Linked DNA regions of Astyanax mexicanus. The protein of the gene in region 2 interacts with the protein of the main gene of each other region in a biochemical or structural test. Links are inferred from orthologs where the notes say so. Each region holds a gene or a part of one and is shown on either strand. Other genes may lie near its edges. The genes, in order: sumo3a and pias2.

Region 1 (11,770 bases), on a different chromosome or scaffold from region 2:
CCAAAGGCTAACCAACAGAATCTACATCACAAGTGCCACAAATCCAGACTCCACAACAGTAATTATAGATCTAGATAACTGCTGACATGTTGAACACACTTGGTAAATTGACACAACACTTGATTACCTAGGCAATTGGGGTTTTCCCTTCATATCATTGTTTTGCACAAATGTTTAGTTCTCTATTCCAGTTACTGTAGATCGTGTGCTCTTACTTTATCCAGTCCTTCAGAGTGGATGTTAAAAGAGAAGCTACTTATAACTATACACAAAAAGGCTGTATTTTATTTATACTTTTGCTTTTTTATATTGCTTTTGTATTGAACAACACATTCAAGGTTGGTTTGTACAAATATTAACTGTATGTTAAATATTAAAATCTTTTTGAAGATCTGCTGTGCAATATGAACAATTTGTGCTTGCCTGTGTACATCATCAGTTAGAAAAAATGCATCAACATGCTACGGTTCCTGTCCCATGACTTTTGCCATTTTCAAAAAAACTAAAGCAAGCTGCACTGATCTGCAGAATATGGTTGTGTTGCCTCAGGCATTGAATATGAATAAGATTTTTGCCAAAAACACTTGCAGACAACTCTAACCACATGCTGCTGTGGGTGGTAATGCCTCCCAACATATTCCTTGTACCACAAATGATCAACTAACATACTTAATGACAGGGCATCTGTTAAAATAAAACAAACAAAAATGCCTTGCTCTCTATATGTAGTAAAAAATAAATAAAAAAACATACAAAAAGGCAGATGGGAATAGATTTAACATTAATACTAATAATGCTTCATTAATTTTTTTAATCAAATGTAATTTTTGCTTGCCTAGTACACGGACTATGTGGGTAGTGTGCAATGAGGGATTGGATGTGCTTTCTTTGATGTTTTTGGGTAATCACCACACACAGCGAGAGCATGTTCAAGCAAGCATTTTCTGACTACATAAAGCACCATGTAATGGTATTCTCAAAATTGCCATCAAATAAAACATGTCACGCACATACTCGTTTCCTCATTAGATCCACCACAATCATAATAAACAAGACATCAGCAATCTGAGTACCAAACTATATTTATTGTATACAGTAGTAAAGGACAACAAATAATGTACAAATCAGTACAGAAAGATGGAGAACACATGGATGCTGATTCAGCCCAACCCTTACAGATACCAGTCTGCTGGACCACACAGCAGGAGGTGAGAAACAAGTTTTGGGGGGAGGGGAGGATAAATTAGACCTTTCCTCTCTGGAGACAGCAATTCCCTTTAGCTTTAACAAGGCAGTAGACATTGGGACTATAAAAATCAAAATGGTCAATTTCTGTCCTCTCTGTAAATTCAAGAGAATAAACAGGGTCTTGATAGATATTTGTAATAAAAACCTGGACTTTGCATTAGTTCTCTTCAGGGTTTGGTCCAGTATCCTGATCCTCACCACTTATTACACTACCGGACCAGGGTTCTCCTCTGAGGGAGGAAGAAAGTTCCCTTCAATCCCATCCCCCTTTGTTACTTCTTGAGTGAGGCAGTTCATTTTAAAATAAATGTGGAGAAACAAACAAAGAATGCAGGGTGGGCATCTCTTCAGCTTACAGACATAAAATAGATCCTGGCTTAAAAGATACTTAAAGCTGCATGACACAGAAGGGGGAAGATCCTCATTCTGCAGAATATAGACAATATGGGCATAGACCATTTATATTTCAAAATGGAAAGAATGGCGGGACAGGCAACTATGGCCCGACTTTCTGGCCAGTATTACACACTGAGAGACGCAACAAGTAGTTCAGATGGCCATTTTGAACTATACCTCAGGGCAGCCATCTTAGTTTTGCCTGCAGCCACATTTGTCATCTCACAGACATGATTACATACTGAAAGAGTGAAGTGGGAGGGGGAATGAAAAGAAAAAAAAAAAAAAATCAAAACAAAAAACCTGGTCCCACCCTATGAAAACTAGGGAGGACTTTCAAATAACTGGCAAAGAAGGGAAATGAACAGTACAGTTAAAGAGAGCATTTAGAGGAAAACATGTCAAATAAAACAGCCGAGTGGGAGCTCGCTGCGCGAATAGGTTTAGCGAGAACCGCCTGTCTGTTGTTGAAATACATCGATAGTGTCCTCATCCTCCATCTCCAACTGCAAGAAAGAAAACATATTAAACCAACTGGATACAACTGATCAAAGTAAATAAACATAAGAGAAAAGAGCAAAAAAATCCCAAATTTTGACAATAGTTTATAATTAACCTTAAATTCGCTCAGAGAGACATTAAGCCAATAAGATAGCAGTTGGCTGCAACAAATGTACTGGAATATTTAGGGGCACCCAAGAGGACAGATTCATAAATAACAAAATGTTAGAGTTTAGTTAATTTTTACATAAATTTCTGGATTCTATTCCTTAAGCTAGCGTAAAGTTGACATAGCTTTTACACTTCAGACTGCATGAGCTAATTTTTGTACATTTTATCTACTTATAAGTAATCTATACAATTTGTGGTGAAGCTGTGATTTAGTCATTGTGGGACAAAGGTAATCCTTATATGCTCACCTGTGCCGGCGTGTCTGTCTCGTTTATTGGCTGTCCATCAAACCTAAACCTAATCTGTCTTATTGACAACCCCTGCAAGAACAAAAAATAAAACATTAGTGCAGCTCAAGACCATGCATGCATACACAGTAACAATGGAAACCGCATTAAAGAGAAGAAAACAAACATATATAAAAGGCAAAATATGCAATCACCAATCTCTTTTCCACCTATTAACAAAAGTCAAAAAACACAAACAAGCAAGCATGCACACACCTGTCTTTCACAGTATGCTTTCATTAGTTTGCTGAGGGGTGTATGCCTTTTGATTTTAAACTGGACCACTGATCCATCCTGCCCAGCCACCTTCAAGTTGATGTGATCGTTCTCAGTCTTCACTCCCTCCTGTAAGAGAAAAGAGGGGGAAATGTAACAATGAGACATGTAAGCAGCTTCTATTGGTTAGAATATACAAATACAAAATGTTAACATGTTCTATTGCAAACGTCAGGGTAACCATTCTGAGTGATACCATGGACGGATGTGGTTAATCACATGTTTATAAAAGCTGTTCAGAAAGTGGTAAAGGTGTTCTGTGGTTCAGTAAATGTGGCTAACTTTATGTACCAAAAACAGAAAGACAAAAAGTAGATTGGATACCATTTTCTCATATCTTTTCCTGAAAACCAGACTGAGAAGCAGAAATAAAAACTGGCAACTTAAGGAAATGGATGAACCCAGAATGGGCTGAATGGTTGTTTCAATTAGCTAACTAGCGTTAGCTTGGTTAACTAACCTATGTTAGCTAATGCTAGCTACCATTATTTTTGTCTGAGCTAATAGCATCTCCTAGCTAACATCTCCCCACAGATACAGTCAGACATTAGCGAAAACTGACTAGCTAGCGTTAAATACAGCGATTAAAAAGTGGTGAAACTGCGCAGATTCGCCCTTTCCTGTTTAAGCGCTCTTAATGCTATCTAAAGAGCTCGGGGTGTGAGAAAATGGAGAGGCGCTAGCTTATTTTCCCTCCATAAGCCTCACACTGCAAAGCTCCCCTCATAAAGTGAAAGCTAGCTTACAGCTAAACACACCAGAACCTGGCCATTACAGCAACAAGCCTCACAAAACAACATGAAGCGAGCTGAAACACGGCGGTAGCTAACATTAGCTAAGTGGCTAACCGCTACACTACCCAGCTCTCAGTGAGGAGACGCGTCGTTGAGGCTCTTTGCCGCCGCCGCCGTGCGCCATTTTCGCATCTGGTGCAGCTAAAAGCCTGCACCTAAAATCAGCTCCCAAACAACCCGCTCACCTTCACCCTCCCCGTTTAAATTAACGAGCATTTTAACACGATTTAAACCAATTAAGAGGCTCATGATGAATAAACTCGGTCGATTCCAGTCAGCGGCCCGTTGCGCTTCTTCTCGTAGCGCCACTTCTCCGCTTTCACAAAGGAAAAGCCGCAAAGCTCGACGCTGCTTCTCACACGGCGACGGAAAAACGGCGCAGAGCAGGTAAACAACGGCGCGCTTTCAATGGACGACCGTCCGCCTGTGTCTAATTCCCTGAAATATTTAAAGAACCCGCGGAATAACCGGGTTTTATAAATGTAGCGGGAGAATGGAAAAACCCCGCGGCCGCACGCTGGCTTCCATTTTCCCGCACAAATGCGCAGCCTGCCGAGCGCACTCTGAATATAACACTGAACCGGCGCTTTTCCCTCCGCGCGCGCTCTTCTTCCTTCCCTCTCCCCCGAACACTTGCTCCCCACACGGACACCCGGCTCTCGGCTCACCTTGGGCTTATCTTCAGACATCTTCTCCGCGGGTTTTCTTGCTGATCTCCGCTCACCGTGTTTGTGTGATTTCGCTACTGTCCGCCCGGCCGCCACGAGCACGCGCCTCTCTTTACCTCCTTCGGCCCTGATTGGGCGTCACAGAGTCACGTGTTCCAGTCTGGGCGGGAGCGCGCCGCGCGTTCCCGTGCGCGCCTCTTTCTTCTGGGGGGAGGAGTGAAAAAAAAGAAACAAGAAAAACGGGGTCGCGCGCACAGAGACAAAAAGGCGCGGCCCCGCTCAAACCCACGGATTAAATTAGGATTATTAATATTTTAAGTTAAACTGGTCCGTATTGAAGACAGGCCTATTGATAGATACCGAATATAATTGATTTTTTACACGTGACGTTTGTGTCTGTGGGTTTTCTGTGTCTAATGAACAATTTAGTCATTCTTTTCTCCGCCACTAGGGGCAAGCGATTTGGACCTGCACACAAATAGGCCGCCATAATAATAATAATAATAATAATAATAATAATAATAATAATAATAATAATAATAATAATAATAATAATAATAATAATAATAATGAATAAATGATAATTTATTGATCCCAGATTTTCAAACCATGCCTTATGTCAGAGCAGTAAAATGATTTTATATATTTGTTATTATTATCTGTTTATATATCTACCTTAATAACTATTTTCTGTAAAATACAATACAATAAATACAATAAAAACGTTTTTTTTAAATAAATAAGTAAATAAAAATTATGTTAACAAGTGCTGAATGAATTGATAAGCATAAGCTATATACTGTAATAATGTATTTGCATGTATTTTTGTTATTTTCTCAACCATGCCTTGACATTTGACAATTCTTAAAATTCAAATTTAAATAAGTTCGGATATTTTATTTGAATTATTTAAAATCTGTAAAATGATTTTATAAACTTGCAAAACAGTGTCTGCTGCCTTTATATTAATATTAATACAATTTTATGAAAAATACCATAATACAACAGTTATACTCGTTGCCTAATTCTTAAAAATTGAAATGATATAAACAAATGACATATTAAATTATAAACATAAAGTGGAAAAAATGTATGTGAACCCTTTGGTTCACAAATCTGCTTATACATTTGTCTTAAAATATGATCTGATCTTCATCTAAATTAGCATTGAAAAATATGTTGTGCCTAAAATATCACATAATTCAATCCATAGCATCTGAGATCTGACTTGGCCCATCCTAAAGGTGGATTTTGTTTTTCTTAAACCATTCTGTTGTGAACTTGCTCTGGGGTTTTGGGTCACTGTCCTGTTGCATTACCCAACTTCTACTCCTGTAAAATTGTTTGATACACTCGGGAATTCATCCAGATCTTGATATTCCCTCCACCTTACTTTGGAAGTTGGAAGGATGTTTTTATGGTGATGTGCAGTGACATTTTATATCAGATTTAGTGCAGCAAAGCAGTTTAATTTTAGTGTTATCTGTCAATAAAATATTTTCCAGTACCAAGGTAGAGCTTCAATGTGCTTTTAGTAATTCCTTTATGTTTTTTTACATTATGTAAATCAACATTTTTTAATATTTGATTCTCTGAAAGCTCTTTTTTGGCACAGCATTGCTCAGATATAGGTATCCTTCTTGTGCAGAGCAAAATCAAAAAGTTTAAATGGATTTTATCAAAGTAGCTCTAGTCCACACCTTTAAACTAGCATTAGTCCAAGTGCTAATGCTTGACTCTAATTTTATATATATATTATTATATATTATATAATAATTATTTTAGGTATATCATATTTTTAATACCATTATTCTGAATCAAATAACATTTTGTGACAAATTTATGCTACCAATTGAACCATGAAATTCCAAAGGGTTCACATACCTTTTCTAGACACTATATGCTGTATACTGTAATTATGTATTTGCATTCATTTTAGTTTTTGTTTTAATCATTTCTTGACATTTGACTTTATTATATTGTCCTATATTGAATGTATAATAATTTAATAAATGTAATAATTTAAAACATATGTACATTAATTTATACACTTGCTACACAGTTTTATATTATTAAAAATACTTATTCCCAACTTTACCATCATAATCTTGAAAAAGTTCTGATTTTTAAACCACTTCATTCATTTCAGCTGAATTAATCTTCTTGAAAAGCTCTCATATATATTTTTTTACATTCTGATAGACAGGTCAACAACTGCTTAATGCCCTTGAAAAGCATAACAAACATTAACCAGTTTAGCTCTGGACTTCAGGGAATTTATGTGGTCTCCCAACTTGGCAGGTTAGTCAACCTATATGTTTACTGGCTGATCTCCAGGACCAGCATGAAAAACAGGCTTGACAAACAGTCATGTCAAGCAGCTTAATCAAGCTGGATGATCACCAAAACTACACTAGTCAATTAGAATTAGCAGCATAATAATGCTGGTTGACCAGCATGACTCAGATGGTTTACCAGTATAACAGATTAGTCAACCAGTATGACCAGCTTTGTCAGTTGTGTTAAGGTGGTTAAGAGCTAAGTTGGTGTTAACAAGCTTTACCAGTTTTCGTACAGTATACTGTGTGTTTTTCCCCAGACTGGCCATCTTTTCAACCGCCTTCATCTTCTTGCTGGTCCTTAGCTGGATTTTATCTGTAGTTAATTTTGTTCTTTCTCTGAAGGCAAACAAACTCAGTTCTAAAATAACGATCAAACAATGAAATCATAAAAAAGGAACACAGCTATTCACAGAAAAAAAGATTTTATTTTTATTTTCCATATTCTCAGTCAAACCTACAATACATAGGAACGTATTGCTGTTGATTAACATAAATAGCAATAAATCAGAGAAATCTTAATCAAGGTGTCCAATCCATTGTTTTACTATAAACAACCAGCAGCACACTGGTTTCATCAACTGGTCTGTCTGCAAACTAGTGAAAACAAGAGCTTCACCTTGGCTGAAAATGAAAACCTAAAGCCAGACTGGCTCTTTGCAGATAAGAATGGACACCCCTGTCCTAAATTAAGAAAGTCCCAACTAAACATTTCCACTAAACCCTTTAAAGATTCTGAGCTCATAAAAATCAGTGTACAGAAAACTATTAGTATGATGTGGCCTATAGTTTGGGGCAATGGGTCACTATCAGTATAAGGTGCCTTTTGTGGCACAGTGAAATAAAAACAAATTAAATTATTCATTTTGTTATTTTCATAAAAATATTCAGCTATTTACATTATATATCTTATATTGTCTTCATATTTCGCTGAGGAAAAGCTGTTGTTTACCCTGTCACGGGTAAAATATTACATTAATTATAATATTAAAAAATGAAAATAAAAACTGATTAAACTAGAAGACATCCTGTGAAAACATTTCTGTGTAATCTGAAGTCATACGTTTAGAAATTAAACTGATTAAAAATTGTCGAAAGAATGAAAAATCTTAAGTAATGTTTTTTTTTGTCTTCAGGGCCAAAAAGGCACAGTATTTTGATAATGACTCAGCTAATAAAATCAGACATTATCAGACAGCAGCATCAAAGTAAAAGTCATTAAAGGCAGTTTGCAAAGGTTTTGAAGGTTCACTCAGGAGCTCCTCTCAGGCAGCATTCTCAAACCTGGCATAAGGGCTGGCCTTACTGAGACCTGAGAGAAAGAGAGAGAGAGAGAGAGAGAGAGAGAGAAAGAAAGAGAAATATTGTTGCCATATCACATTCTGAGTGCATGTTTACTTTAGCACTGCCCTGGGAAAAAGTACATAATGGATGTGAGTGGACCTGAAGGCTGAGGAAATGTGGACTGTTAATTTAAAAATAATTACATTACAAACATGCGCTTTTCTGTTTAAAGAGGCACTCCAGCAAAACTGACAAACATAACCATCACTATATCTGTTGTAATATGCTTACTAGCCTTCCACAGGGGTGACAATTGGAGCTCTAATTTAGCTTCTTTTGTTTAAAGGCCACCTACGTCATGTCCACAGTTACGTGCCACGTTACGTTAAATAATTATTCTAAGGCGTTAATTAACACAATATTTATTTCAATTATTCATTTAGCTATTTCCCTTTTTTTATAAAAATATTAAGCTAAGAATTCCATGCCCACCCTGTCATCTTGGGAAAACTCTGGCCCTTTAAGAAATTAACTTTTGATATCAGATTTATTAATCAGCAATTAATAACATTAATTTCACTTAATATTATTCATACACTCTCCATATTGAACTGGGGTAAAGCTGAAGATGTTCAAGCTGTCATGTTAAAATGTCAAGGTATTTAACACAATTTTAGGAAATCCAAATTGATCTTTGAAACTAAAAAGGGTGCCATGAACAAAACAACATGTTTGTAACTTTAGGTCAACCATGTTTTCGTCAAATGTTTATTTTTGCTGCAATTTTCACCTTGTCATTGTAAGACAGGATGAACCATTTTAGCAAAAATTAACATTTGATGAAAACATGGTTCACCTAAAGTAGTCTGTTAAAGTAGCAGTTTACTGAATGTCAGTCTCTTTAGCAGACTTCTGTTAGACCTCAATTTTCATTTTATCTGATTAAATGAAATGAACGTGGTTTTCTATAGAGGGTGGAGGAAGGTTCTTTTAATGATAATCTGTACATGTTCATACAGTGAAGCATCAGTGTGTGAGGGGGCATCACTTATGACACTGCTTACCATATTTCTGCCGAATTTCATCATGTCGCACTCTCATCTCAGCTTTCCTGTAAAAGAGCAAATATATTCTTATTGTAAATCCATGCAGACAGATACACAGACACACACACACACACACATATACAGACAGACAAGTCTGTAGATTATCTCAGTCCAGCATGGCTGCCAAACCGGTTTGTACTGGAACATTTTTAGTGACGACCAACTTTACAGCAGCACTTTTTTTCCCTTTGTTCTGAAGATATGCAGAGGCTGATATATAAAGGCAGTGTGTGTGTGTGTATGCGTGAGTGTGTGGGTGTAACTTGGACATTATTATGCGTAAGAACATTGGAATTATCTGTGAATTACCTTTCATAGGTAAAATAACCATTAATGACTGTAAAGTGTTGTATATTGAAATGTAAATGAAAAATGCTAATTTGTCCATGGTCAATTGATTCATGGGCTTTACAGGAGTGTACAAACATTTTACCAAATGGCCTTTAAACACAGTAAAAAAAAAATAATCCAGTCGGTTTGGTAAATGTACCGCTTTTCCTGTTTGGTGCTCCTCTTGTCTGCTTGCCGCTGCATCTTGCTCTCAGAGCTGGAGCTTCTAACGGGGTTAGAACACACAGCAGGTAAAGGGAAATTAGAAACAATGTTTTCAACAGTTTTGTTGACTTATTTAAAATAAATCAATTTTCCATTAACCCCAACTGTGATTAGCCAAAACACATTTGGTGCTCTAGTCTGGCTTCTTTAGATTAGCACTGCTAATTTAGCTAATCAACACTAGAAGTCAACAGTCACAGATTTCTAAAGAATAAAACATGAAAGTGGTTGTGCATTATGTAAATGTGTGTGAGAATTAGGGCTAATAATTTTTTTGGTAGTCGACTAATCTGATGATAATTTTCTCAATTAGTAGATTAGTCAACGATTATTCTGCTTTATGTCCTCCATCTCTAAAAACGATAGAAACACCTGAACATGAGATTTAAAAGGCATGTCTGGATGTTTGATATTTAGTGACTAAATATGTAATTTGTTGAGTTTGGGCACTTTTGGAGACAGATTAAGTTCTCCAATCTCCTATTGCGGTCCTGTCTCCAAAACTTTTATGTAATGTGGAACTATTACAAATTAACGATTAGTCGATAATTATATTTGTAGTTGACAAATTTAAATTATCGACATTGTCGATTATATTGACTAATCGTTGCAGCCCTAGTGAGAATATAAGCTTAAAATTCACAATCCTCCGAAAATCTCGTACAAGTCATTAATATTATAAAGGCAATGTAAAAAGCACACAATAATTTTCGATCATCCTCATCCTACCTTCCACTACCTTACATTACCTTACTGTACCTCACTGCACCTAGCTCTTTATCTAGCTCTACCTTGCTTTGCCACACTCTACGTTACTCTACCTCACTGTACCTCACTCTGCTTCACTTTACCTCACTCTACTTAGCTCTACTTTACTCCATCTCATTCAAGCAAGATTTCAGATTTCAACTTATGAACAAATGTACACTTTTTATGTAGTAGTTTGTAATTAATTAGTGTTTTTTTCATGATATATTGATGTGCCTCTAAGTGATATAAGGTACTAATACTAAACAATTTATTAAAAATAGCATCTATTGGTCATCATTGCTCATCATGAAATTTTACAAACATTGAAAGAACAACTACCAGATTCAAATTAAGTAAAAAAAAAAAATAATAATAATAAATACAAGGTTTTCATCTGTCAGCATCAATATTTTTTAGACATGTTAATGACTGCAGGTTTCACTACATATTTTCTTATTTTGATTAATTTTGTCATCCACAATTCACTGCTGACACAAAAAAAGCCCTCCCACATGCTCCTAAAATCAGCTGATATTCAGTTGGCCTATTCCTTTTAAACTGGAACAAGCTGAGCGCACCACTTCCTGAATCAAATTACATGTAAATAGAGCAGTCAGAGTTTGTTAGGCTATAGGTCTGCACTGCTCGATACAGGCCAAAACAGCCTTCTGTATTTGGAATTGCTGCTGTATGTGCCGTTGCTGGCCTTGGCTGCACTTACCCGCAGTTTTCACACTTGCAGCAGCAGAACAGGCAGAAGAAGAAGGCGATGATGAGCGCCCCCGCCACCACTGACACCGTAATGATCAAAATCTGGAAGTTCACTGGAGTTGAAAAAAAATACAAATATAAAATTTAAATAACTTGAACATACACTCATATCACACTATACACCACCTTTTTAAAAATTTGGTTAACAACTTCAGTGCAGCAACAGCAGATCCAAACACAGATTACAATTACAGGGATAACCATCAATAATCAGACAATATTTATCATTCATTTATTAGAGACTGTCACAGTAGTGCTAGGAAATATTGTAAAAAAAACCCCTCAAAAATCAATATGAACAATTATCGATTACAATTAAGATTTTTGTAGTTGTTACCTAACAGTTTTCTTCAGATGTACCAAAATAGTAACAAATAGCACCAGTTTTAGATATGAACTATGCAAACTAATGTTCCTGTTACATTTATAGTAACAGTCAAATGTTTGGACACACCTTCTCATTTTGTTTTTCTCTATGTTTTTTTTTTTTTTTTTTTTTTACTTTGTAGATTAATAAAAAACAAAAAACAGTGTTTGCCCTCCACAATCCCCTGATCTAAACCTGATCAACTGAGTCGATTTGAGGTGATTTGGGATGAGCTGGAGTTTCACAGGGTGAAGGAA
Region 2 (11,919 bases):
TCTTTTTAAAATAACAGTAAATAAAAAAATTAAAAAATAGATAAAGTAAAAATAACATGAGTAAAATAACAATAGTAACAATAATAAAACTTGGAATTATTAAGAAATTAATAGATCAAAGATGATAAGATTAATAAAAAAAACTAACTTTTACATAGTACAATAAAAATACAAACACATCAACTAACAATATATATATATAATTTATATAATATAAATATACTAATAAAATAGCAATAATAATACAATAAACTAATTAAAACCAGTTAAAAGGCAATAATATAGTTTTATTTAAAAAAATAAAATAATGAAGAAATAAACAGAAAATAAAGAACTATGAGAAGAACTAAAGCAAGAAATAAAGGTTAGGAATAAATAAGATTAAGTAAAACAGGTACAGGCTCTCTGAAGGTAAATTAGATATTAAAAGTTTAAAATGACTGAGTGACACCAGTAAGCTGAGTTTAAAAGTTTTCTGAAGTGAATTTCAGCTTGTTGGAACCTGACAGCTGATCCAATCACTAGAGCGAGTCTGATAATTACTGCTGTTTACATTCATCAATGAAGTGATGTATTCTGGCAAATGACCGGAGAGTGTCTTATAAATAAAAATCAACCAATGTGTTTCCCTGTGTACCGTTAATGACGGCCAACCAATTTTGGAATTAACCGTGGTAAGTTGCAAATTTCATTATCCAAACCATGCCTGCAAACAACCAAGACATACAGTACTTACCCATCAATGATCAGACTCTCATATGTGGCTTTCTTGTCACACACAGGGCAGATCCAGGTGGGTTTCTTTTCATTCATCTGCAGGTACAGAGCTGCATCGAAACACTGAAGGTGAGAGCAGGTAACCGCTCGACAGGGAACTGTGAGGCGCATCTTTCCGAGCTGTGAAAGAACATTTTTTAATTAGTAATACAAACGCAATTCAAAAAGGCATGTTAAAATATGAAAAAATATTTTGCAAAGATAAAATATATAAAACCTTCAGAACTTACTGGGCACATGAGGGACACTCGCAAACTGGTTGTAGCTATTTCACTGTCTGGGTCTGCTGTGAGCTTTTCTTTTACTAAAAACATGACAGAAAGTGAGTATTTTTAATTACATTAATGATTCTGAGAAATAATCCCCCAACAACAAGTGACAAAGCACTATGAATAAAAAGCACAGAAAACATCCCAAAATAAATCAACAGGACAGAATTTAAAATATTTCCTGTACAGGAAATGCTGTTATTCTTCTTTTAAATACTAAACAATCTTTGTATATTAAGAATTCTTACTTAGTGCTCTTGAGTGGTCAGGGTTTCTGATCCCTTTCATTCGTAATCTTTGCAGTAGCAACGGTGACGTCAGCTGCCGTACCAAGTAAACGGACATGGAATATGTCTGGGGGAAAAAATAAAAAAATTAGGTACAACTATCAAACATTTAAACTTAAATCAAAACATTGTTTTTTATTTATTAATCTGCCTACCTTTCCTATTTCAGGTGCCCACGTGACTGATATCTGATTGGGTACTGCAGAGGACAATCTGACGAGAGACGTGATGTTCAAAGGCCTTCCAGGCCTCTTTTGTTCAACACCGTTCTTAGGAGGTGGTGCATAGCCCTAGCACAAACGCAGAAAAAAGAAACATCAAATCTGCTCATTTTCACATCCACATTACATCCTAATTGATGAAGTATGAGAGACATCTAATTACTCACTGGTAAAGGAAAGAGCTTCCCATTGACTTTGATGCAAAGACTGTTGGGATAGTTGTCCTCTTGAGGGCAACTGGTCTCTGAAAGGCAGAACCTGTAAACAAACAAACCAAAAAAAAGAAGTAGTAGTAAGCTCGAGGACCAATATCACAGCTTCATAAACTACACAACATTAAATTGAGAGTCATCCTTACCGTAACTGTATTTGAACCATATAGTCTCTTCTCCCACCAGGAAGGAAATCCCTTTTAACAAACAATCAAATTTAAATACATGGATAAGAGACATCATCAACAGCAGCAAGCCAAATCAGCCACAAAAGAAATAAACCAAGAAAAAAAATTAAAGAGACAAGAATTAAGTCATTCTTAATTCTTACCGTGAAATACAAACTTCTCTCACTTGCTGTGGAGTCAAGGCAAAGATGAAGTACTTTTCCTGATGAAACCTCTGAACAGTACTGGGTCCTGTGGGGAAAGAAGTACAAGAATATAATTTAGATACTAAGTTTAATTACGCTGCTGTCAGACAAAACCTTGCATCTCCCATTTTTTTCCGTTTTGGTATGATTCATATATTTTTTTATACTGCGGGGTACTTCAAACACAGGGATTAAGCCTAGTTTTGGACAACACAGCATTTTGTGTGTGTGTGTGTATAAAATACTCTGTAGTCCAAGACTATTATATAAAATCAATAATTTTAAAGAAAGCCCCCACACAGTATCATGTATTTAAATATATATATATATTATTTTAATTAATTTTATTTTAATAATATATTATTTAATTTTGACATACAATATGTCAATACCGTAATTATCGTAATTGGCCTGCACTGAATAAGAATGTGATAAATGAAATATACTTTTAAACTTTTTTTATACCTTTAAAATTGCCATTTTTGAGGTACAAGGATTTTTCACTACAGTGATAAAAATAAAGTACAAGCCAACATTCTTGATGCATTTTTAATGAAAATATAATGTATTTAAAATAGTTAAATATTTTAACAATGCCACATTTCGTATTATAGTATTAAAAAATAAAATTATATACTTTATATAAAAAAAATACTTTTAAAATCATTGTTTGGCATATTTGACATTGTAGGAGCCCATAAAAATCCCCACCAAAATTACCTAAACTCGATGGCTTGATCAATACATCCAACACATCATAAAATGGGAGGGACTTCATCTGGACGTCCGGGTGGACAGGGGGCATAAGTGGGTTTGGCTGCTGCATGTTCATCCTGGGCTTTGAGTCCTGAAATGCTGGTGATTTGCGGGTGGCCAACTGCTGATGCACCACGTCTGAGTGACTAGCACCAAGAGAAAGTTCCGGACTTACAACCGTTGATCTGTCCCCTGTCTGAAAGTAGGCCTTAATGTTTGATAACTCCGAAAGACTGTCAAATGTTCGAGGATATCTCCGGCGATACAGTTCCTTGATTTTAATTTGCACAGCAGGATTACTGTCACTCTTTATCAAATGCAAAGCCCTCAGCAGAAGTTCATGCTTGCGACCACTCTTGTTCCTTCCAGCAAAACCTAGCAGTACCTGCAGCTCTGAGACACGGAAACTTGATACCATATTCTGCAAAACAAATACAAAGAACCATAAAGGCAAACAACTGAAAAAGGTGACAGGGACAAGTTCAAAGTCTGGTTAGGTAAATTTGCATTTATAGCAGGTGATAAAAAGAAGTGATTCTATGACACATTTAGGCTGTTTCAATGTCTAATAAAATATAACAAAAAAGGCATGACAGTAAACAAGAGGAATGCTTAAAATAAGAGGTATCATACCCAATAAAGAAGTCTGATTTGAAATCAATATGTATATATAATTATGATGTTTTTGTATACACATTTGACTAAATCAAGGTCTATACATTTACAAATATAAATTATATAAAAAGATATACGTCTACCCCAGTGTAACATTATGCATTGTTCAAAAGACATCCCACACAAACATTTCCCTGCCAGAACCCCCACTCCCCAAAAGAGTAAGAAAATCTCAACTGACCCTTCAACATACGGTCCATGCTTGATCGTTCTTACTTGTTAATCCTTTTTTCTTTAAAAATCCTTTACAAATGTGCGCGAATTGCATCTAAAATGTTGAGAATAAGTCCAAAACTCATTAGATAAACATTGTAAACAAGACACAGAACAGGCTTAACTTGGCATTTGAGTTAATATGAAACTTCACAGTCAGATTTGGTGTGTATAATACATTTTTTCCACAGTTAGATAATCTTTATGGCATGTTTACTGAGGATATTAGATTATAATTAAGAATGAGAGTCCTGTAACATCAAGGACAAAGAAAGAAGAGTCTAGGGGAGGTTAAAGTCACAAGCAAAAATACAGACTTAGTGTGCAGTTTCTCACTGTGTGCGTTTTAAATAACTACTCATGTATAATTAAGTAATTTAAAGCAACATAAAGAGGAAAACTAACTAACTACAACACTGAGACCAGAAATCAACACTAATACACTACTAGCTTAGCTAAAATAGCTAAACACACCCTAGCTAACTTAACCTACAGCTGTCAGTCACCAACTATGGCTTTACCAAAACCATTAGCTACCAATTTGAAAGAATTAACTCAGATTTAGGAGGTTAAATCCCCGAAAACTTGAGTTGTATGTTAGTAAGGTAACTTAGCTTTAAGCTAACGGTTAGGTTTGCAAATGTTTGTAGCAGTGCTGTTAGCTTAGCTTTGCTAACCCGCTAACAGGCTAACAGACAACAACAAAAGAGCCCCGAGCGAAGAGACACTCTACAGCATTTAACTACAGAATTATCAAACACTTTACTGTGAAAACTGAACACATAAACCAAAAGCATTTAGATAATATTAATAATATTAAAATTAATAATAATATAACCGAAGCCAATGCACCTTGATATGCTAACGCAGCAGCAGCAGCAGCAGCAGCTCGCTCGCTCTCTCTCTCTCTCTCTCTCTCTCTCTCTCTCTCTAGCGGGACTCTAGCAGCAGCTCTCGGGCCTACAGCTCTGAGCCACCCCGCCGCTCTCTGACTCCCACCCGCAGGCCGAGCCGTGGCCCGCAGAGCACTGCGGGCAGAGCGAGCTTCCCCTGAGCTCAGAGAAGCACACAGCCACTGTCAGCTATCACAACACTGTAGCCTACCCGTAACTCCTCAATATCCGCCATGTTCTGGCTCGGTTCATCCTGACGATTGACCGGTCAGGGTTGAACTCAGCTTCGCAGCGACAGCCGATAAACCACCGCTACAGTGATTCACCCCGCTGAACCGACTCCTTCCACAATGAACCGAACCTCTGATTCATCACATTCCTACCAACAAGCTGCTTCAGTCCCAATCCCATTTAACCCTTGGCCCTACCACTTTACCCCTTCCCCTTGTTTTCGAGTGTAACCCTTCCCCTTTAACTTTAGGGCAAATAAAGTATTATTCAAACAGTGCTTTTAATATTTACTCAGATTATTTTTATCTGATATTAAAGTTTGATTGATAAATAAATATGTAATGGGGCAAATACTTGGATGTGGATGCGCAGAATGAGACAAGCGCAATAATTTAAAAAAGTGCATAATTAAATAAAAGTAATCCAATATATAAACAACAAAATGGATCTTTTTGAATCACTGGAACTAACTGCTATAAGTTATAGTTTTTTATTCTTGAGAAATCAGTTTTAAACAAGTTCCTGTTTATAAAAACATCACACTAAGCTTTTTTACCTTTATGACGAACGAAAACACCACAGCGAAGAGCTAATTAAAAAAATACGCAGTTCCTCCATAATATAGTGCAGCAGCTCTATTTATGCTATTATAATAATAATAATAATAATAATAATAATAATAATAATAATAATAATTATTATTATTATTATTATTATTATTATTATTATTATTATTATTATTATTATTAGGGCTTAAATCTGGCGTATTTACTGTATTTGCTTCGTATATGATTCCTCTCAATGAACTGAATCGATTCTCCGTTTAACTAAAAAGAATCGGTTCAAAAGAATGATTCATTCACGAGTCACCAGCTACACTGAGGTCTGGCAAACAAATTGTGCACACGGAGAACCCGGACAGGTTTAACTGCATACAGAGGATTTTACAAACAGCAGAGTCTACAGACTCTTAATAAAGATGCAGTGAAGAAAATAGTGATAGTGTGTGATTCTGATGCTTTAGAGACACGTGTGAGACACGTGTTGGTCTTCAGGTGGCTGTATGCTATGTATAGGAGAAAAGTGTAAACCCACATTACAGTGGTGAACAGATGGAAAGTTTTGGATTACTGTAAGTAACCAGATAAGCAGACTCTCTTGACCTACTTTCATACAGATTGAATTACACATACTCAGATGTTTGCTAATTAAATCACTGTTGGAAAAAGCCTAGTTTTGCCTACCCACCTATAGCTTCCTAGAATCTTCATTGTCATTTCCATAGCAAAAAAGTGCTGTTGCATAAAATATGACGTATTATGTGGACCACTATTAATATAACGTGTATTTTCTGTCCGTGTCAGGGCCAGGCAGGGATGAGATCAACACAATAATATAATAAAAGTATTATTAAAATAAAAGGTAATCCAAAATCGTAGTCAGAAACAAGCAAGGTAAAAAACAGAAAACAAACACAAAGGGCAGAGAGCATACCATAAACATTGAGTCAAGCATGGTAAAATCGTAGTTGAAATGCAAATATAGGTCAAATACAGAATAAACAATACATGGGTTGGTTCGAATCCTGTTCATGTAGCTTGCTATTAGCTGCTGGAGCCCTGAGAGAGCACAACTGGCCTTGCTCTCTTTGAGTGGGTAGATGGCGGTCTCTCACCCCACATTACTCCAAAGGCTGAAGTTGATCAGCACAAGGCTTCTGAGAGCTGATGTATCAGAACCGAGTCGCTGCGCTTTCCTCCGAGCGTGCAGTTTGAAAAGAGGCAAGAGCTGAATTCACATTTATTGGAGGAGGCATGTGCTAGTCTTCACCCTCCTGATGTTGACGCTTCACTAGTGATAGGGGAGTCCAAATGATTGGTTTGGGTAATTGGCAGAGGAATATATAGTGAGTTTATTACAGCATATTTTTTTCATATTTCTTTTGTTCTTCTGGATCCGTTGTTATGTCTCCTTCTGCTGGCCTCAGTGGGGAATGCACCAGCCATGTGCTCCAGGTGGCTATAGGCTCCGCCCCTCACCTCAAGCCCATCGTGACAAAACACAGGTGCATCTCCTCAAGGAATTAATGAAGACTCACTTTGTCATTGTGAAGTATCTGTGGCCTGTGTGTTTATCTGAGTTCTGAGCAATATTTTTTCTTATTTCCTTTCTACAACTTGTTTGGTGTACTATTTTAATTTATTTAATTTACAGCAGTACTAGATTAAAATGTTTGTAGAGCTTTCTGTGTATATCAAAATGTATGTTTGAGGAATACAGTTTTCAGTGATCAATATATAAATTATATTATTAGTGCTTCATTATTAGTGTTACATATGGCTACATTCACATTAAAACCACATTGCTCAAATCCGATTTTTTGCTCAGATCAGATCAGATCAGATCTGTGTGTAATGTGAACAAATCTGTTCCTAAACGCCTCACATGCACACATTGATACTTGTATAAACGTCGCCTTCTTCACCATATTTGAGAGACGACTCGTAGCTTTATAAAGGGAAATGGATGAGTTAGCAGCTCATATGTGGAGCATCTTTTGCTACAGTGGAGAGTAAACAGCTGGCTGACACCACTCCAGAGCTCCTGCCTGCACCTAAGAGCCTTACAGGGCCATCTCAAAAATATTTGATCAATTTTAAGTGTTTATTTCTTTTATTGGCTTACAGCCAATAAAACCCAAAAATCAGTGTCTCAGAAACTTTGATTATATAAGACCAATTGGTACTTTCTGCAGTATGGGCAGTGTGCCAAGTCCTGCTGGAAAATGAAATCTGCATCTCCATAAAAGTTGTCAGCAGAGGGAAGCATGAAGTGCTGTAAGATTTTGTGGGAAAACAAAACTGCACTGATTTTAGACTTGATAAAACACAGTGGAGCAACACCAGCAGATGACATGACTCTCCAAACCATTAGCTCTGTCTCTCTGTGTCTTTTAGAACAGGGTTTCTCAACCGGGGGGGGGGGGGGCGCGAAGCACCCTCGAGGGCAGGGGTGACCAAACTTTTTTTGTTGGGAGCCAGAAGGAGAAATATATTTGAAGTCACGGGCCACAGACTCTGTAATAAAACAAATAATGAAATATACCACTTTAAATAATACATTTTCCTGATTACTTTAATTTTATCTATCTTTGACAGTGTTGTGTAAACTATGATTTTTCATATTGATGTTTCATTTCATGAGGTCTCTTAATATTAAACTCCTTAATATTATAATACGGCAACTTTTAGACTCTTTGGCCCGTTTTTCTGCGCTACAACTGCGCACCCTCTCCGCTTTTAGACTCTTTAGCCCCGTTTTTCTGCGCTACAACTGCGCACCCTCTCCGCTTTTAGACTCTTTGGCCTGTTCTTCTGCGCTACAACTGTGCACCCTCTCCCCTTGAGACTCTTTGGCCCATTTTTCTGCGCTACAACTGCACAGCCTCTCAGCTTTTAGACGCTTTGGCCCGTTTTTCTGCGCTAGAAATGCGCACCCTCTCCGTTTTAGACTCTTTTGGCCCGTTTTCTGCGCTAAAACTGCGCACCCTCTCCACTTTTAGACTCTTTGGCCTGTTTTTCTGAGCTACAACTGAACACTCTCTCTGCTTTTAGACTCTTTTGCCCGTTTTTCTGCGCTTCAACTTCACTCTCGCCGCTTTTAGACTCTTTGGTCCGTTTTTCTGCGCTTCAACTTCACTCTCTCCGACTCTTTGGCCCGTTTCTGACACCTAGCGTTCAACTTTGAATCTCACATTATAAAAACCTGCTTACCAGCGGGCCAACTTTCATTCTATTTCTAAAATACCTCGCGGGCCGCTCCAAAACAGGAAACGGGCCGCAAATGGCCCGCGGGTCGTAGTTTGGACACCCCTGCTCTAGGGGTCCGCTGGCTCATTCTCAGAGGGAGACAGTACTCTGTAGTGAGCACTTTAAACCAGGGGGCTCAAACTCACGGCCTGCCGACCATTTGCGGCCCGCAGAACGATATTTTGTGGCTCGCGACTTGAAATTAAATTTTAGTGTTAATGAGGCGCGCCCGCAAGAAAGACGCGCACACACACGCACGCACGCACACACGCACGCACACACACACACGCACACACCCACACACACACAGAACAGCTGCCTTTCAACCACGGAGGAGAAGCTGAAAACAGATTTATAGAACTGTAGATCACAGTGAGGTTGATTAAAAATATTAAACTTATGATTGACTACACCTGTTGCTTCATTTGAATTAAAAAAACGTCATGGAGATACCCATACGGAGGTGTTGTGCTACCATGTCAAAACGTGCTATTCTTATGTGTATATTTAAAGGTAAAAAGACAAAAGAAGCACAATATTAGAGCATGTTTCCAGTAAGAAGTTCATGTACTATATTTGGAAAGCCTAAATCACCGTTTCAGGGTAAAGATATGGTAGCAAGAGTTTATTATACTCTGTTTTTTTAGATAGTATCATTATTATTATTATTATTATTATTATCATTATTATTATTATTATTATTATTATTATTATTATTATTATTATTATTATTATTATTATTATTATTATTATTATTATTATTATTACGGTGGGCCGTAACGTAGAAAAGGTTGAGAACCCCTGTTTTAGAAGACACCTTACATGTGAGTTACACTTCCTGACTGTAGGGGGAGCTCGAGGTTCAGACATTACAATTTTCCATTATGCTGCTTAAAGTAATGGGTTGCTTGGTTCTTCGTAAGAAAACAGATTACAATCCCTTAACAAACCTTTTAAAAAATGGTTGTATATGGAACCAAAAAGCCAATTTAAATGGTTTTGTACACAAAACATTTACTAACATTTTAATAATGTAAAAACGTGGTATATTTTAATTAGGTAAGGAGTTTTGTGTCTTTAATGTAAAATAGCCGAAATATAATTTTCCAGTCTTGGAAAATAATCTTCCAGTTGTGCTTCATCGTTGAATCAGTGGTGAATAGTATTAAAGCAAATGTAACTCGATACTGTACCGTTTTTACACATTCTTCACTGAAGTATTCCCATTTTAGGTGACTTTTTACTTTAACTCCACTCTATTTAATTCATTAAATAAAATAACTTTTACTCTGTTACATTAAGTGAAATATGCCATTTATTTTGGCAACATACCAATCAGAACATATATTTACTTTTAAAGCAGTTTAGTCCTGCTGGACCCAGAGCAACATCAGCACAGCAGGTCAAAACTGTGGGAGTGTCTATTCCTGAATAAATTACGGAATATATGTAATATATATATATATGTGTGGTATAGTAAAGGTAAACTTTATCAATCTGTGTTTAAAACATTTTTTAAATTAAATTTAAACTTAAAAATGGAGAAAACGGAGAAGCCGTGAATAAAACAATATTACATAGAGCGAACAATATAGCTGTTTTCTTTAATTTGTGTAAACAATTTGTACTTTGTTCTCATGTTTTCATAAATTTGAGTAAATGATTTGCAATTCGTACTCACGATTTCTTTCATTTGAGTGAACAATTTCTTAAATTTGTACTTACAATTTTCTCAATTCGAGTGAACGATTTTTTTCATTCGTGCTCACGATTTCTTAAATTCGTGCTCATGATTTCTTAAAATCGTACTCACGATTTCTTTAATTCGTGCTCACAATTTCTTTAATTTTAGTGAACGATTTCTTTAATTCGTGCTCACGATTTCTTTAATTTGAGTGAACAATTTCTTTAATTTGTGCTCACAATTTCTTTAATTTTAATGAACGATTTCTTTAATTCGTGCTCACGATTTCTTTAATTTAAGTGAACAATTTCTTTAATTTGTGCTCACGATTTCTTAAATTCGTGCTCACCATTTCTTAAAATCGTACTCACAATTTCTTTAATTCATGCTCACAATTTCTTTAATTCGTGCTCACAATTTCTTTAATTTTAGTGAACAATTTCTTTAGTTCGTGCTAACGATTTCTTTAATTCGTGCTCACGATTTCTTTAATTTGAGTGAACAATTTCTTTAATTCGTGCTCACAATTTTTTTCATTCATTCCAGTACTGTTCATGTCTCCTACAATGGCGTATTAGGGCAACTCTTAAAAATTAAAAACAGTACACTTCGAGAATAAAGTTGTTATATTACAAAATCAAAGTTAAATATGTAAATCAAAGTAAATATGCAGTTGTAACTGCTTGTTAGAAAGAGAAAGGTGAATTTTCCACTCATGATCTGTTAAAGGGCTGCTGTGATTATCATCAGTTATCTACATTTTAACCTGCTGCTTGTTAACGCTCTAGTGCTACAGTTAGATAATACAGTGTCCATATTTTGCCTTATATTTGGCATCCTAGTAGCCTTGCCTTTAACTCCCCCACACTGGGAAAATGGCAGACAGAGGCCCACACCTATGAAAGACAACTGTATTAAATATACAAAAAGTTTTTAAAGCAAAGAATAACATTCTAAATATTAAAAAAATTCATTGTTACACAGTGTTTATATGCAATTGATAAGCTATACTGCTACACAAAATACATGTTATATACTCATATTGATCTGAATTAAAATTCTTCCTAATTTCTTATTTTGATTGTTATTAAAAAACCTTGCAGCCTCTTCATTTATCCAGCAGAGGGCACTATCTGTGTGTATCTGTTGATTTGATTCATAAATTACATTCCTCAGCTATGAAACACTTTATTTTATTTAGTTTTATCAACTACATTTATAGAAAGAGAATTTACAGCATTTGTCTTGCTTACCAAAAAGGAAAACTCCTGCTGCTTGTTCACCTTAAAAATCCAAAATCTTCTACAAAGCAATTTTATTGTTTAATTTTTGTTTTTTGATATTCAATATTTGACCCATTTTTCCACATTTATAAAGCCAAATAACTCCGCTGTTTCATATTCTATTAATCAACAAGAGGTACAGATTGTTTTTGTAATGGTCAAAGGCCAAAAACCCTCATCCATCTTCATACAATGAACCTGAAAGATCTGGCAGCAGCATGGAAACAAGAGCTCTG

The links.
Region 1: the proteins of pias2 (region 2) and sumo3a form a complex in vitro, tested with the Homo sapiens proteins (2 studies listed by BioGRID, with this or other methods). The link is inferred for Astyanax mexicanus from reciprocal best matches to the Homo sapiens genes PIAS2 and SUMO3.

The regions. Positions count from the first base shown.
Region 1 is NC_064412.1:39,370,264-39,382,033, forward strand, and holds sumo3a (small ubiquitin-related modifier 3-like), read right to left. Parts: upstream 4,498-11,770; 5' UTR 4,363-4,497; coding exon 4,342-4,362; intron 2,949-4,341; coding exon 2,820-2,948; intron 2,637-2,819; coding exon 2,565-2,636; intron 2,151-2,564; coding exon 2,088-2,150; 3' UTR 1,065-2,087; downstream 1-1,064. Other genes in the region: pttg1ipa (PTTG1 interacting protein a), read right to left, coding at 7,946-7,992, 9,029-9,075, 9,561-9,626, 11,097-11,199. UniProt on the Homo sapiens protein: Ubiquitin-like protein which can be covalently attached to target lysines either as a monomer or as a lysine-linked polymer. Does not seem to be involved in protein degradation and may function as an antagonist of ubiquitin in the degradation process.
Region 2 is NC_064429.1:14,343,062-14,354,980, forward strand, and holds the start of pias2 (E3 SUMO-protein ligase PIAS2), read right to left. Parts: upstream 5,037-11,919; 5' UTR 4,912-5,036; coding exon 4,888-4,911; exon of another isoform or gene 4,636-4,887; intron 3,839-4,635; exon of another isoform or gene 3,752-3,838; intron 3,317-3,751; coding exon 2,860-3,316; intron 2,186-2,859; coding exon 2,098-2,185; intron 1,964-2,097; coding exon 1,913-1,963; intron 1,813-1,912; coding exon 1,722-1,812; intron 1,624-1,721; coding exon 1,489-1,623; intron 1,401-1,488; coding exon 1,295-1,400; intron 1,082-1,294; coding exon 1,008-1,081; intron 898-1,007; coding exon 737-897; intron 1-736. UniProt on the Homo sapiens protein: Functions as an E3-type small ubiquitin-like modifier (SUMO) ligase, stabilizing the interaction between UBE2I and the substrate, and as a SUMO-tethering factor.